Linked DNA regions of Drosophila melanogaster. The protein of the gene in region 1 interacts with the protein of each later gene in a pairwise test. Each region holds a gene or a part of one and is shown on either strand. Other genes may lie near its edges.

The links. The genes of interacting proteins can lie anywhere in the genome.
Region 2: the proteins of CG4313 (region 1) and CG13014 interact in a two-hybrid assay, tested with the Drosophila melanogaster proteins (one large-scale study listed by BioGRID).

Annotation. Positions count from the first base shown.
Region 1 is NC_004354.4:2,049,619-2,057,161, reverse strand, and holds CG4313 (uncharacterized protein), read right to left. Parts: upstream 4,479-7,543; 5' UTR 4,417-4,478; coding exon 3,857-4,416; intron 3,346-3,856; coding exon 2,722-3,345; intron 2,659-2,721; coding exon 2,217-2,658; 3' UTR 1,748-2,216; downstream 1-1,747. Other genes in the region: Sik2 (Salt-inducible kinase 2), read left to right, coding at 1-1,042, 1,137-1,244.
Region 2 is NC_004354.4:16,585,202-16,591,193, reverse strand, and holds CG13014 (uncharacterized protein), read right to left. Parts: upstream 3,322-5,992; 5' UTR 3,087-3,321; coding exon 2,388-3,086; 3' UTR 2,264-2,387; downstream 1-2,263. Other genes in the region: SMC3 (structural maintenance of chromosomes 3), read left to right, coding at 1-1,567, 1,642-1,854.

The sequences.
Region 1 (7,543 bases):
CCTGGACAAGCGTTCACCCATACACTTTCGCGAAGGAAGACGGGCGAGTGATGGCCTGGTGGCCCAGGGCCTGCTTAGCTCTGGTTCCTTGCTGGGCACCAGTCGTGTGTACGGAAGTTATCGCTACGAGCAGGCCAAGCGTCACGGTTGGCTGGAGATCCAGCAGCTGCAGCAGCTGCAGCAGGAGGCGGCTGTGGGGCATTCACACCCACATGCCCATCAACATCCGCATCAGCATCCGCATCCTCATCCCCAAGCGTACGGCTTGGAAGAACTCTGTCAATTTCCAAATGGTCAATTCTATGCTCTGCCGGGCAAGCATCATCCGCTGCTGACTTTGCCCCATCATCATGCGCATCCTGCGCAGCATCACCATGGCCATCATTCGCTGTTCCATTCAGGCCACCAAGCCACACCTCTGCTCCTGGAAGCCGCTGCTGGTGGGGATATGTATGGTCATGGATGCTATGCTCCGCCACCGCCGCCACCAGGGCTATACACGCACCATCAGTTGGGCGTGGGTATGGCCGTGCCCATGTCCCCGATGCAAAAGCCACCGCTGCAGCAGCAGCTACTGCAGCACCGCCTGCTTCAGCAGAAGCGTCAGTTGTTCCAGAAGCAGTACGCACTGGAGGCGCAGCTAGCCGGTCGACATCACCACCATCAGCAGCACAGCCATCACCACCATCACCACTTTGGCCACAGCCTGGGTCCGCCACCGCCGCCGGCTCCGGCTCCGGAACATCACCTGGCCGACGAGTTGTACGAGTTGGCCTTGCTTGATCGGCCCAGGAGCGGAACTCCTAGGCTTCAGCACTCCATGACCATGCCCGGAGCTCATGCCTTCAGTCAGATGAACCTCAAGACTTCCTACATCAGCCAATCGGACCAGGTGCCTGGTGCGGCGCCTAATGGAGCTGGTTCCGGAGGATCAGCTGCTGGGGTATCATGCTCAGCTCCACCGTCCACGGCGCCGGGTACGCCCACGGTCAAGTGCAAGCCTACCACGCCCCACGGTCACAGCCTGGACTCCGACTATCATGTAAGTAAGCTAGATAACGCATATTAAGATGATTTCTCAGGCATCCCAAGTTCGTATATAAACCTTATCCGTTTTCTCCTTGTGTCCTCCGCAGACATCGACGCCGGTGCTCAGCCTTTTCACGCCCAATTGGCAGTCGCTGGTAAAGCCGCTCAGCGAGAGCCCCATCCTGGAGATATCGGAGCACCTTGAGTCAGTCTGAGGCCGTGTGTGATGTTATTCGGTGGAGGGGTTGGGGCAATTCGAATGGGAGTAGATTTGTAAGTGGAAGTCGGTGGGAAAGGAAAAGGGGTAGGACTGGACATCGAACTATAATGGGGGCTGGACCGGGACCGGGGCCACCTTTTTATTAAGCTCGCAATCGCAATTATGAATTATTTGATCCATATACGATATACACCCATACATACATATAAATAGCCTATATAGATATGAATGCGGGTCGGAATCGGAATCGGAGTTACATCGATTCACGTTTATTGGAACCGATAGAATCATTACCGAACCGGGCGAAGCAGTAATATTGAATGATTTAGTTGTGTTACTAGTCTTAAGTAGTCCAAGTTTCGTACGCATATACGCAGACATATACAATATGTATATTGATAATAATAGCGTTAAGCTATAGCTCTACTTATGATTACACTATACACTATTGTATTGCCCCCACGACAGTGGACGAGAACAACGTAACTACATATATCAATTATTCGAAGCATTTATTGGGGGCATAGAAAGGGCGTATCCATATAAGGATATATCTATTATGTATTGGTACAATAATTAGCGACAAGCAAAGAAAAAAAAAACAAAATTTAAACAAACATCGATTGTTCTTAAACATGGAATTCAAATGTAAACCAGATATTAAAGTCATTTGGTATAAAATGCAATATACTTCTGGAGTTCCTACATTATATAGATATAGATATAGATATATATGGGTGATCTGTGTTTTCGTGTGTGCGTGGAAGGGACGACCGGCCGGATCATGTGACTAGAAATCTTTTTTGGAGGCACTATAATCACCAGGGGATCAAGGAATTTTTTCTTACCGCAGATCATTCAACATGACATTTGGGTACTTCTCCCATCGTATTACTACCATATGGCACACATATATCATATCCCGCTAGGACGGAGGACGATGAAGGTGTTAAGGCATCTGTCGGAGTCACGTCGTGGCCTTCACCTGCCGATTGGACTCCAGGTGCTTTCGCTTTGCATTGGCCTGATTCCGCTGCTTCTGGGTATCTGGAGAGCCATGGCAGCGCAGCAAGTTCCAGTAAGCTCTTCGGTATTCGGAGCTCATCAACACGTAGATCAGCGGGTTGATGCAGGTGGTCAAGTAGATAAGTAGATAGCCAGCAATGTTGAACCAGTGCACCTCGGTGGCGCTTTTCCATATTTTGGCCACCGTGATGGGCAAATAACAAATTACAAACCACACGAAGATTACCAGTATCATCTTAAGCAATCTCCGGTCCTTGGCACTCATCCTTCCCGGGTAAATAGAGGATGCATTTGAGGTATTGCCCATGGAGGCGTAGTGGGATTTCCGCGGGCTAAACCGTGTGAAGGAGGTGGTGCGCAGGGATGTAGTGATAGGGTTCTTTCTGGAATGGATTTACGCATTAAGGTTGAGTGAAATGGCAAAGAAGCCTTCAACAGCTACTCACCCATGGGTTTTGCCCATCTCTAGTTGCGTTTGACTGCGTCCCAGGCTGACCTTTTCCTGATCCCGATCCCTTTCCTTCTCCCGCTCCTTGAGCACCACATTGGCATCAACAGGCGGTGGCTGCTGGTCCTGATCCCTCCTCCGTATGCTGTACGAGATCGGCAGACTGTCCGTCGAAGCATTGTCATCGATATACGCTAAGTTTTCCTCCACCACAAAGGGTCGTCCTGCGATCGGTTCGTTCGCCTCGCCGCTGGACGTGGTCACCTTCTCCGGCTTCTTTGGTGTGGCCATGGCTTGAATCTGATGCTGCGGCGCGGAGCTGGGAGTCACATCGCTGACATTGGTCTTGCCAGCGGTTCCCGCGCGAATGGCCGCCTTTCGCACCAGCAGGAAGATTCGGGCATAACAGATCACGATGCAGATGCACGGCACCATGAAGGCGGCGATGAAGAGGAACTCCTTGGGGGATCTACCATACCGATCATGCATGATGGAACACGAGCCGATGCTGACGTCCAAGCCAAAGATACCCCATACGCCCCGCCAGGTGGGTATCATTATGGAAAACGTGGTGATCCATGTGCCGGCTACCATCAAAGCCAAATATCGTCGCTGGTAAATTCTGGAAGAACGGATTTGAACCAGTGGGAATTGTATTTTGTACCATGTCTAATTTGATAATAATATATGCTCATTGTATTCAAATATATTATTTTAAGATATCCGTAGCTCACGAAAATAAAAACTAGCTAGTTATTTATTTCTCCAGAAATATTGTAGTTCATATTTTATAAGATATTAATTTCCGTTCAGTTTAATTGTTTATTACGAAAATATTGAGATCGCTGAACCGACCTTTTCTATAGCATTTGCCTCTAGCAAGTAATGTTCTCTTTTTTAGTTAATTAAAAAACATCTACGAGAAGCCATACATTTTCCTTTTTATAAACAAGTTCAAAAGTTTATAAGTTCAGAAACACAATAACATATGTGTGGGTTTTTTTCTCAGATTAAGTGGTAGGTTACCATGCGTATCATAATAAACAGATAAGCACCAAGAGGAAGAGTTGGGCACTCTGAATACCCTTCAAGATTTAGGCAGGACATGCCGATATGGGCAGGCCCATTCTCACCTTGGATACTGCCTGGGATGGGCGATAATGATGTACCGGTTGATGGTGATCAGCGACACGGAGAGCAGGGACACCGCCAGCAAGCCGTAGCGCAGCATCGGAAACAACCTGCACAGCAGATCACTATGGGTCCACGCCCGCTCCTTGAAAGTGGACGCGGCCAATGGCAGATTAAAGCAGCCAAAGAGTAGATCCGAGCAGGACAAATTGATTATGAATATGGCCGTGGAGTTGCGGGTTTGACGACCTCGCGACAGGGCCACTATGGTCAGTAAATTTCCGGGAACGCCCACAATGATGAACACTATGCAGGCCACCCAGGCGATGGTCAGCAGCTCGTCCGAATAGCCCTCGAAGAGCACCTGGCGCCTGTCGTCTACATTGAGATTAAGATTCATATTCAGATTGAGGTCCACGTCCACGTCCAGGTCCAGGCTGTCGGAAAGGGGTACCGGCAACACCGCGTCCTGATCCGCCATGTGATCAGTAGCATAGGGATCCGAAAGAGGCAGCGCTATCGAGATCGGATGCGGAGTTGGTCCGGATTTTGGTGGGAACATCGCGCGGCACTTTGTGTTCGGCAAAAGACGCGTTGCTCGTTCCTGCGCCGAATTTGTACTAAAACTGAATTCTCCGCATCCATACACCGACATGGTTCCCACCCAAAAAGTGGGCCCGAAGGCAGTCGCCGCCAGCCAAGCGTACAAAATATTGAGAAAAAAAAAAAAAACAGCAGGCGAACTAGAAAAACTTTCAAAAAGGAAAACAAAAGAATCTCAGAGCAGCAACAGCAGCAACAACACACATTTTTATTGTATACAACAATTGACTTCATCATCGGGTAATTTGGTAATTTGCGTGTGGAATGGGCGCTTTGTTTACATTGTTCCTATTCGGTGTTGTTTCTTAACCGCCCTTCCCGCCCCATTCCGCCCCAATCCACTCGACTCTTTCGCTCTTTCGTCGATATTCTGACGGGGTCATGTTGCTGTTGTTGCCGTTTTTCAAAGTTTCAGATACTAGACCAGGGATACCATTGCCCAAAATGGTTCGACGTTTTAGCTACATACTTGAGCATTCCGACAGCCAGAACATACATACTTGCATTAGACTAGTCTTTGCATCAGTCTGGTGGAATATAAGTCATGAGCAGCATGGGGAAAGTTATCTGCATTGCTAACACAATTCAAGACTTATCACTTGCAATGAAGTAAGAAGTTCCCCTCCTTAATTGATACCTTGACCGATACGTCTTGGATGCTTAAAAAATTCGGTGTGCCAGAGGTTACATGAATATATTGGGAATACAATGAATAAGCTCCTACAGATGAATCGAGTCTATTCGTAGCCCTGATTTCGGGCCATACGCACCTCTCCGGCATTTTTGAAATGAAAAACTTTTCGGTTCCTGGGTCGTGTGCATGTGTGTGTGTGTTTGTGTGTGTGGTTGCATAGTTTCCTCTGGCAATTTTCTGGATAATAAATGGGCGGCATCCATTCGAAGCGAGGAACTGAAAAAAAAAGCAAAACTTTTGCGAGAGGGACTCATTCGAATAAATATGCCTATAGATCGAATTTGTGCGTAGAATGAATACTCCAGTCATGGGCGATTAATCCTGAATCATAACTCGAGACTATGCGTTTTTCACGCTCTCATAACCCGTTTCGAATAATGAGTCAAACCCCGGAAGCCTGGTGTCACACGACGTCAGCGTACATATGTAGTCTTAATTAATCAAGCCAATATGCCGGGGGAAACCTCTCTACTTTTCCGAGGGTCAGAGTGCGGGTCGTCTGTTGGGTCGAATTGAGTATTGTTTGCCTTTTGAAAAGAAAAACAGGCGGTTCTAGGGAAAACTCTTTGGCAACGGCACGAATACGAATACGTTGTTTGTTTTCATGCAGGCCAATAGTCCGGGAATTGCAGCCGACTACCCAAGAAAATAACATTCAGTTCTTGAGGAAATTAATATAATTATAGCGCCATATCGCATTCACTTAAATGACGAGAAATTTTTAAGTTTAAGATCCTAGGAACTGGATGGAATACAATACGTGATAACGAAACATATGGCTCATCCTCGTACTTGCGAAAACATGCGTTTTCATAAAACAATACAAGGCTTTATCGAGCTTAATCTAAACGTATAATCCCATCATTTTTTAAGAAATTAAAAGTGCACTATCCTTGCGCCCACCACTGTACTTGGAAATGCCTGCGGGATGGGCATAAAAGTGGAAACTAAGACCTCCCCCCCCCCCCCACTCATCAACCATTCTTGATATGATTGTGAATACGATTCGAACGCCAATCGACGCCCGCTTCGGATTCGAATTCGGATCCAGAGATCCAGACTAATGTAAACTTCTCCGGCGTACTTACATATACGCCTATACGCATACGCACACGCACGGGCCCATGTTTAGATAGCCATAAACTATCGTGTTCTTCACACAATCCGCAGCAAACAACAAACAATGAGAGTGCGCACAAATCCCTACGTCTTCAGTTCGATATCTGCACCGAAAACATTTATTACCAGGTCACAGTTCCTAATGCGATATGTGCGGTAGCTCCAACCATCAGTTCCTTACCATGCGACAGACCGTTTTTCCCAGTGCAGCCATGTTGGATCGCCTCGATCGATGTCGAATGTCCAATTGTGTAAACATTAGAATGCAGACACATGAAGCCTTATCATTGCACATTTGCTTCAGTGGAGAGAGGAAGCAGAAGCGGCGTATCTGCGATATGCATCTGATCGATCGGCAACCATTGAGCGGCCTCCACCCACACCCGCCCCTCGGTCGGTCACCAGATGGCCGATGGCTGATCGCCGATCTCCGCCTCTCTGTCTGTCCCTGTCTGTCTTCTGCGCTGTCTCCGGCCGGCGGGCGAGAGTGCGGGAGTGCGAGCGAGCAAGAGAGCAGAAGAGAGCGCCAAGTCGTGGGGGCAGTAACAGGGGCGCGCCAAATGAGGGGAAACCTGACTAACATGGAGCGCAACTGACGTGCGTTCAGACGGAATATCTAACGAACGGAGTATACCCTCCCTCAATCAGTTCCCTACGCCACTGGCCGGCGGCGGAGAGTCATTTAGACACTAGTTGAGAGTGAGAGTAAAGAGTGAGAGGGGGCTGCCGATTGTCAACTGGCAATATCGCGACTCGCTCTACGCTGCCCGCACTCGACGAACTGCACTCGATCCGGCAGTTATAGACGATCCAATACGATCCGGCACGAGAACGCAGGCGCTACGCAATTTGTCCGTTACATTCAACCAGTACGGATAATAAACAACGAAAAGTAACTACGATTTCAGTTCGACTTGAGTGACATTCGATACGATACCGTTGAAGCAGTCGCGAGCGTGTGCCTATTTGTTAGATATTTAATTCGACTGTTCCTTTTTGTTTTTGTGATTATGTCAAGTGCTGAGTTAGGGCAACCTGTAACCCTTTTATTCTCTACCTGATCTCGCGATTCAAAAGCATTAGTCATGAAAGCTGGTGCGACTTTTGAATCACCGACAGCAGCAAGCAATAACAAAAACAAAAAGCAATGCTCCAGTGGCGTCCCCAGAGCAACAATAAAAAACACAGCGATTCATGAATAACCCCAGCAAATGCCGAATGCCGTAAACTGTTTACATTGCTAACAGCATTACTCACTCACTCTTTCACCTCG
Region 2 (5,992 bases), about 15 Mb from region 1:
ACCTATGATCTCCAAACTGAAGTACGATGAACAGCACGACAAGGCGCTGAGGTATATCTTTGGAAAAACGCTAATCTGCAGAAATTTGGAGCGCGCCACCGAGCTGGCCAAGAGCACTGGGCTGGATTGCGTTACGCTGGACGGAGATCAAGTGTCCTCCAAGGGATCCCTCACTGGCGGCTATTTCAATACATCCCGTTCCCGTCTTGAGATGCAAAAGAAGCGCACGGAATACACCAGCCAGATAGCTGAATTCGAAAAGAAACTCAGCAAGCTGCGAAACGAGCTCAAGTCCACCGAGAACAACATCAACTCAATCGTATCCGAGATGCAGAAGACGGAAACGAAGCAGGGCAAGTCGAAGGATGTATTCGAAAAGGTGCAGGGCGAGATTCGCCTGATGAAGGAGGAGCTGGTGCGCATCGAGCAGTATCGTGCGCCCAAGGAGCGCTCACTGGCCCAATGCAAGGCCTCATTGGAGTCCATGACCAGTACGAAATCTAGTTTGGAGGCGGAGCTGAAGCAGGAGCTGATGTCGACGTTGTCGTCGCAGGATCAGCGTGAGATTGACCAGCTGAACGACGACATTCGTCGACTGAACCAGGAGAATAAGGAAGCGTTTACGCAGCGTATGCAGTTCGAGGTGCGCAAGAACAAGCTAGACAACCTGCTGATCAACAATCTGTTCCGGCGTCGCGACGAACTGATCCAAGCGCTGCAGGAGATTTCCGTGGAGGACCGCAAGCGAAAGCTAAACAATTGCAAAACGGAACTGGTTTCCGCCGAAAAGAGAATCAAGAAGGTCAACTCCGATCTGGAGGAGATCGAAAAGCGGGTAATGGAGGCTGTGCAACTGCAAAAGGAGCTGCAGCAGGAGCTCGAAACGCATGTGCGTAAGGAGAAGGAGGCCGAGGAGAATCTTAACAAGGATTCCAAGCAGCTGGAGAAATGGTCGACCAAGGAGAACATGCTCAACGAAAAAATCGATGAGTGTACGGAAAAGATTGCCAGCTTGGGCGCCGTGCCGCTAGTTGATCCTTCCTACACACGCATGTCCCTGAAGAACATCTTCAAAGAGCTGGAGAAGGCAAACCAGCACCTGAAGAAGTATAACCATGTGAACAAGAAAGCCCTGGATCAGTTCTTGAGCTTCTCCGAGCAGAAGGAGAAGCTCTATCGCCGCAAAGAGGAGCTCGACATCGGTGACCAGAAGATCCACATGCTAATTCAGTCATTGGAGATGCAAAAAGTGGAGGCCATTCAATTTACGTTCCGACAAGTGGCGCAGAACTTCACCAAGGTGTTTAAGAAGCTGGTGCCCATGGGCGCGGGCTTTCTCATCCTGAAGACCAAGGACAACGAAGGCGACGAAATGGAAAAGGAGGTGGAAAACTCCGATGCTTTCACAGGGATCGGCATTCGGGTTTCGTTCACCGGCGTTGAGGCTGAGATGCGTGAGATGAACCAGTTGTCTGGTGGACAGAAGTCGCTTGTCGCCCTGGCCCTCATTTTCTCCATCCAAAAGTGCGATCCAGCTCCCTTCTACCTATTTGATGAGATAGATCAGGTGAGTCGTCACATTACCTATAATTACGCATTACTTTATTTGATTGACTAATGATCTACTAATGTTTTGTGCAGGCGCTGGATGCAATGCATCGAAAGGCGGTGGCGAACATGATCCATGAGCTCAGCGACACTGCCCAGTTCATTACGACAACGTTCCGGCCGGAATTGCTGGAGAACGCGCACAAGTTCTACGGCGTGCGATTCCGAAATAAGGTCAGTCACATTGATTGTGTGACCAGGGAGGAGGCCAAGGACTTCGTCGAGGACGACAGCACCCACGCCTAGGAAATTGCCCCGCCCAAAACCTCATCCCTCAACCCACCACAACCATCTCTCGCCCCAATTATTAGTTTCGTAGGCGTACGATTTGTTTTCACATTCTTTTAAATCGTATACATATATATATATATAGTTTTCTTTCTAACGATACTTGCTACATTTAATTTTCCTTAACAATGAGAGTTAGTTTTCGGCTAGGCCGTGCTCGTTGCGTGGAACACTTCGAGCCGGCGAACAAAACCGAGAGTATAGAAACTCCAAGCCCAGATCAATATGTAATAAAGCGCATAGAGAAGTAATTTAAACTATATTTAAAACGAAAATATGTATTAAAAAGCTTATGCAAAAGGAAACCGTCTAATCCAATATAATTCCACACTTTTATGTATGTATGATAACAATGCAATAATTGTTTCGAAATAAGAAGTCTGGTTTATTACTCAAAAAATTGTTCAACAACGTGCATCTTATAATTAAATGTTGGTGTCTTAGAGCTTGGCAATCAAGGCTCCAGTCCCTGGTTGCCCGACCAGCTACTCTCAGCTGGCCACAGCGTCCAGTTGCTCCTGGATGGCATTCAGCGCAAAGATGGTGCTAAAGCACATGCCCACGGTGGCCACCTCCAATTGGCTGATGTTGTAGTGCAGCGGCAGTCGCCACAGGACAAAGTGATTCAGCAGAACAAGCAGGGCCAGGCCAAGTGACCACCAGTGCTCGTCGACGATGGCGATGCGCCAAAGACAGTGGACATTCCACAGAACACAGAGGCCCAATTGCGCGGCATCCAGTTTTATGAATGTGGCACCCAGTGGACTGCGACTGTTGCCGAACCACAAGCTGGTGACTGCAAGTGCCAGTACAGCGCTCCACAGTCCAAAGGCCAGACGCTCCCAGTCGGCGCCGAAGAAGTCACCCATTCGGGTGGCCGGATTTACGGTCTGCAGCTCGCCCACCACCAGGGTGACAAATAGGACGCAGGAGTAACGTCTCGACTTGTCGCACAGCAGACGCTGCACTGCGCCCGGATTGGGATGCGTGTGCCGCAGCAGGCAGAGCAGGCTGTGGCCAAAGTAGATCCCAAAGGCGGCCATCGCCTTGCTGCCGGTGCTCCGTTTCAGACCCCAGCCGGAGATCACGGCCAGGACGAAGTGGATCAGGCACAGGGCTAGCAGGGAGGTGCCACCACTGGACCCCGGCAAGGGACCATGATTCGGAGGAGGACTTCTGTTGGACACCATTGTTTTGACTTGAGAGCGATCACGCCGGTTGCCGGTGATTCCACCTCAAGGTGGCAAATCTTCCGTCCAGTTTGCGGACGGGCGACTTGATTCCTCGACCAAGTTTGTTGCCGATGTAACGGCGGATAAATGATCTTTAGTTAAACTTTATTAAATATTTGTTGCATCAAAACAATAACAAGATTTACGTCAATATTAAATCAGTATCGTATTTCGACATAAGCGTGGATTTTTTAGGTGGTTTCTTTCATCGATAGCGTAAATTCCTCGATAATATAACGGATTCGGTATAAGTGTGGACACAGCCTTGAAATATGCCTTTTTGAATTTGACTGTTCATCCGGATAAATATGCCTCTTGTAAAAGCATACTTGTAATAGGTCGAGTTCTACATAAGGAGAATACAAAAGTTTACAACAGATAGTTGATCAAACATTTCATTTTTATTTAATCAACTAGCATTCACGTGGACAAAAACGTATACAGATGTTATTTTTATATACTAGTGGATTATATAGTAAAATACTTAAGTTTTTAAGATTGTATAATTTCTAATAAGAAAAAATATTCTTATGGGCTTATTTTGATGTCAATGCAGCAAAATGTATGCTATGGTTTTTGAAAAGGGAAGTAATTTTCAGTTAACAATATAACCGTGCATTTTTTCTTATTATTTACGAACCTAAGAAGTCGTGTTTTATTGCATCGAATTAAATTACAATATTATAAGTTTTTAGGTTTAAATTACTGATTTGTTAAAAATTTCAATCCGATTTGAATAAAACTGCTAGTTGCTTTTTGTTCCATCCCTATTATATTATATCCAACTGAGAGTTTTCATATTTCCATACACCGCGAAACGGTCACACCGCACCGCATTCAGTCCAATCGGAATCGCTCCTCGATAAGCCCAGACAAATCACGCCTCTATCGATTTCTTATAAGAAAGGAAAACGAACGAGCGTGTTATCGAGTGCAACATTTGCGATTTGCCCTGCTGCGCGCGTGCACTTTTTATTAATCTCCCGTATAAATCAGATATCCGTGTGCATTTCGAACGCGCTCCGTCAACACACACACAAAAATTAAGTAAAAAGTTTAACACGAATTGCGAATAGCGAAAAAACAAAAGCTTAAACCGTCGAGTGTGAAAATTTCGAGCTAAAAGCAAAACGAAGTTAAGGTAAATTGCAAGCAGTCACTGTTTTTTTTCTCGTGCTATTTTCTACTTCTCATCCTCCTCCATCATCCTGCCCCCTGAACCCCTCCCCCAACATCCTCGACCGCCCCGCCCCCATACAATTGTGCAACACACGCACGCACACAGACGCAAATGGGAGGCTTGGAGCAGTTTCAAACCACCAACAAACACACGCACACATGCCCAGCCACACGCGCGCATATACATATACCGATATACATATGCATACATACAGCTGTATGTGTACATATTCCAATAAGAACGGGCCAAGACGTGAAATGTTTTTTTTTGTTGTGTGTGCATACATACATTAATTGCATTAAACGGGCAAAAAAAATACAAAATATGAAATAAAAAGGAGGAAAAAAAAGCGCAATGTCAATGTCCGCCCATGCCCGTTTCAATTAATTTTCCTGTCGATTTTTGGGCCCGAAAAAAAAGAAGGAAAAACAACAGCGAAAATACGCGAGTGCAACGGGTAAAATAACATGATACACACAGCACATGTGTGTGTGTGGGTGTACATTATATATGTATACATAGGCAACATTTTTTCTCTTATTAGTCATCTTTGGTGTGTGTGATGAAAAGCGATGAAATTTCAGCTGAAGCTGTACGTACATACATCCCCAACAAACAAATTTTTTTCGTGTGCAAAAAACAGCAAGAACAAGTGAAACAAGAATAATTATAACCGAAAAAGGCTGCCAAAGGCAACTGATGGAATGGAAATATCAGTAAAATTCAACAAGAAAACTTTCGTGTGTGCCTATGTGTGTGTGTGTGTGCAAACAAGAGATTTTCTCGAAGAGAGCCGCACGTAAATTACGGCTCTCCTCGTCCTGCGTCTGTGTGCTAGTGTGTGTGAGTGGCAGGACACCAAAAGCTACGAAATTTTCATGCTGTAGCAGCAGCACATAACGGTTCTTCCTTCGCTTTTCTCAATGTGTGTGTGTGTGTGTATGTGTATGTTTCTGTTCTGTTTTTTCTCCTTTTTTTTTACTGTTTTTTGCCAGCTCTGCTGCTGCGCAGTCTCTGCCGACGTTGAATGCACAGTCAGAAATATATTATAATTAATTAAAGTATTTCAACCATTTTAGCTTCATATTTCGTTAAATGATATATTTGAAATAAATGGTATTAAAAAGTCTCAAATAACTCGTTTGGCCATTATATTTTGTCTCTATCAAATTGGAAAGTTAAGCAGAAAAGTTAATCGCATATTCTATATGCCAAACGATAAGAAACTATTTATCTATGAAACATCAATTTGTTTCATAAAAACTGTGTTTCTTTCTGTGCGTTTCTTTGAAATTTGTTTGTCCAATTTGGCGCTCTCTCTTTTTGTTTCCCAGATCTCTCTCGCTCTCTCTTGCTGCCTCTGTGCCTCTTTCTCTCTGTAGCCTCCTTGCGTATTTTGTTGTCCTTCGACTCCTGAGCTCTTAACTCCAGGGACATGCCACAAGGTTCCACTGTGCGCGTGTTTTCGTTCCGAGAGCTTAGACCCAAGGTCCCTGGCTCATCTCGTCACTTTTGCTCCTTATTCCTTATTCCGTATTCCCCATTCCCCAGGATCCCCTTGCTGCCCCAACATCCCGCGAGCCACCCTCCCCAAAATAAATATAAAGGAAAAGTTCACTGCATTCCTGCCTGCATTCCTCTCGAGCTGCCCGAAATCCCACGAGAAGCGGCCAGAAGGTGCCAA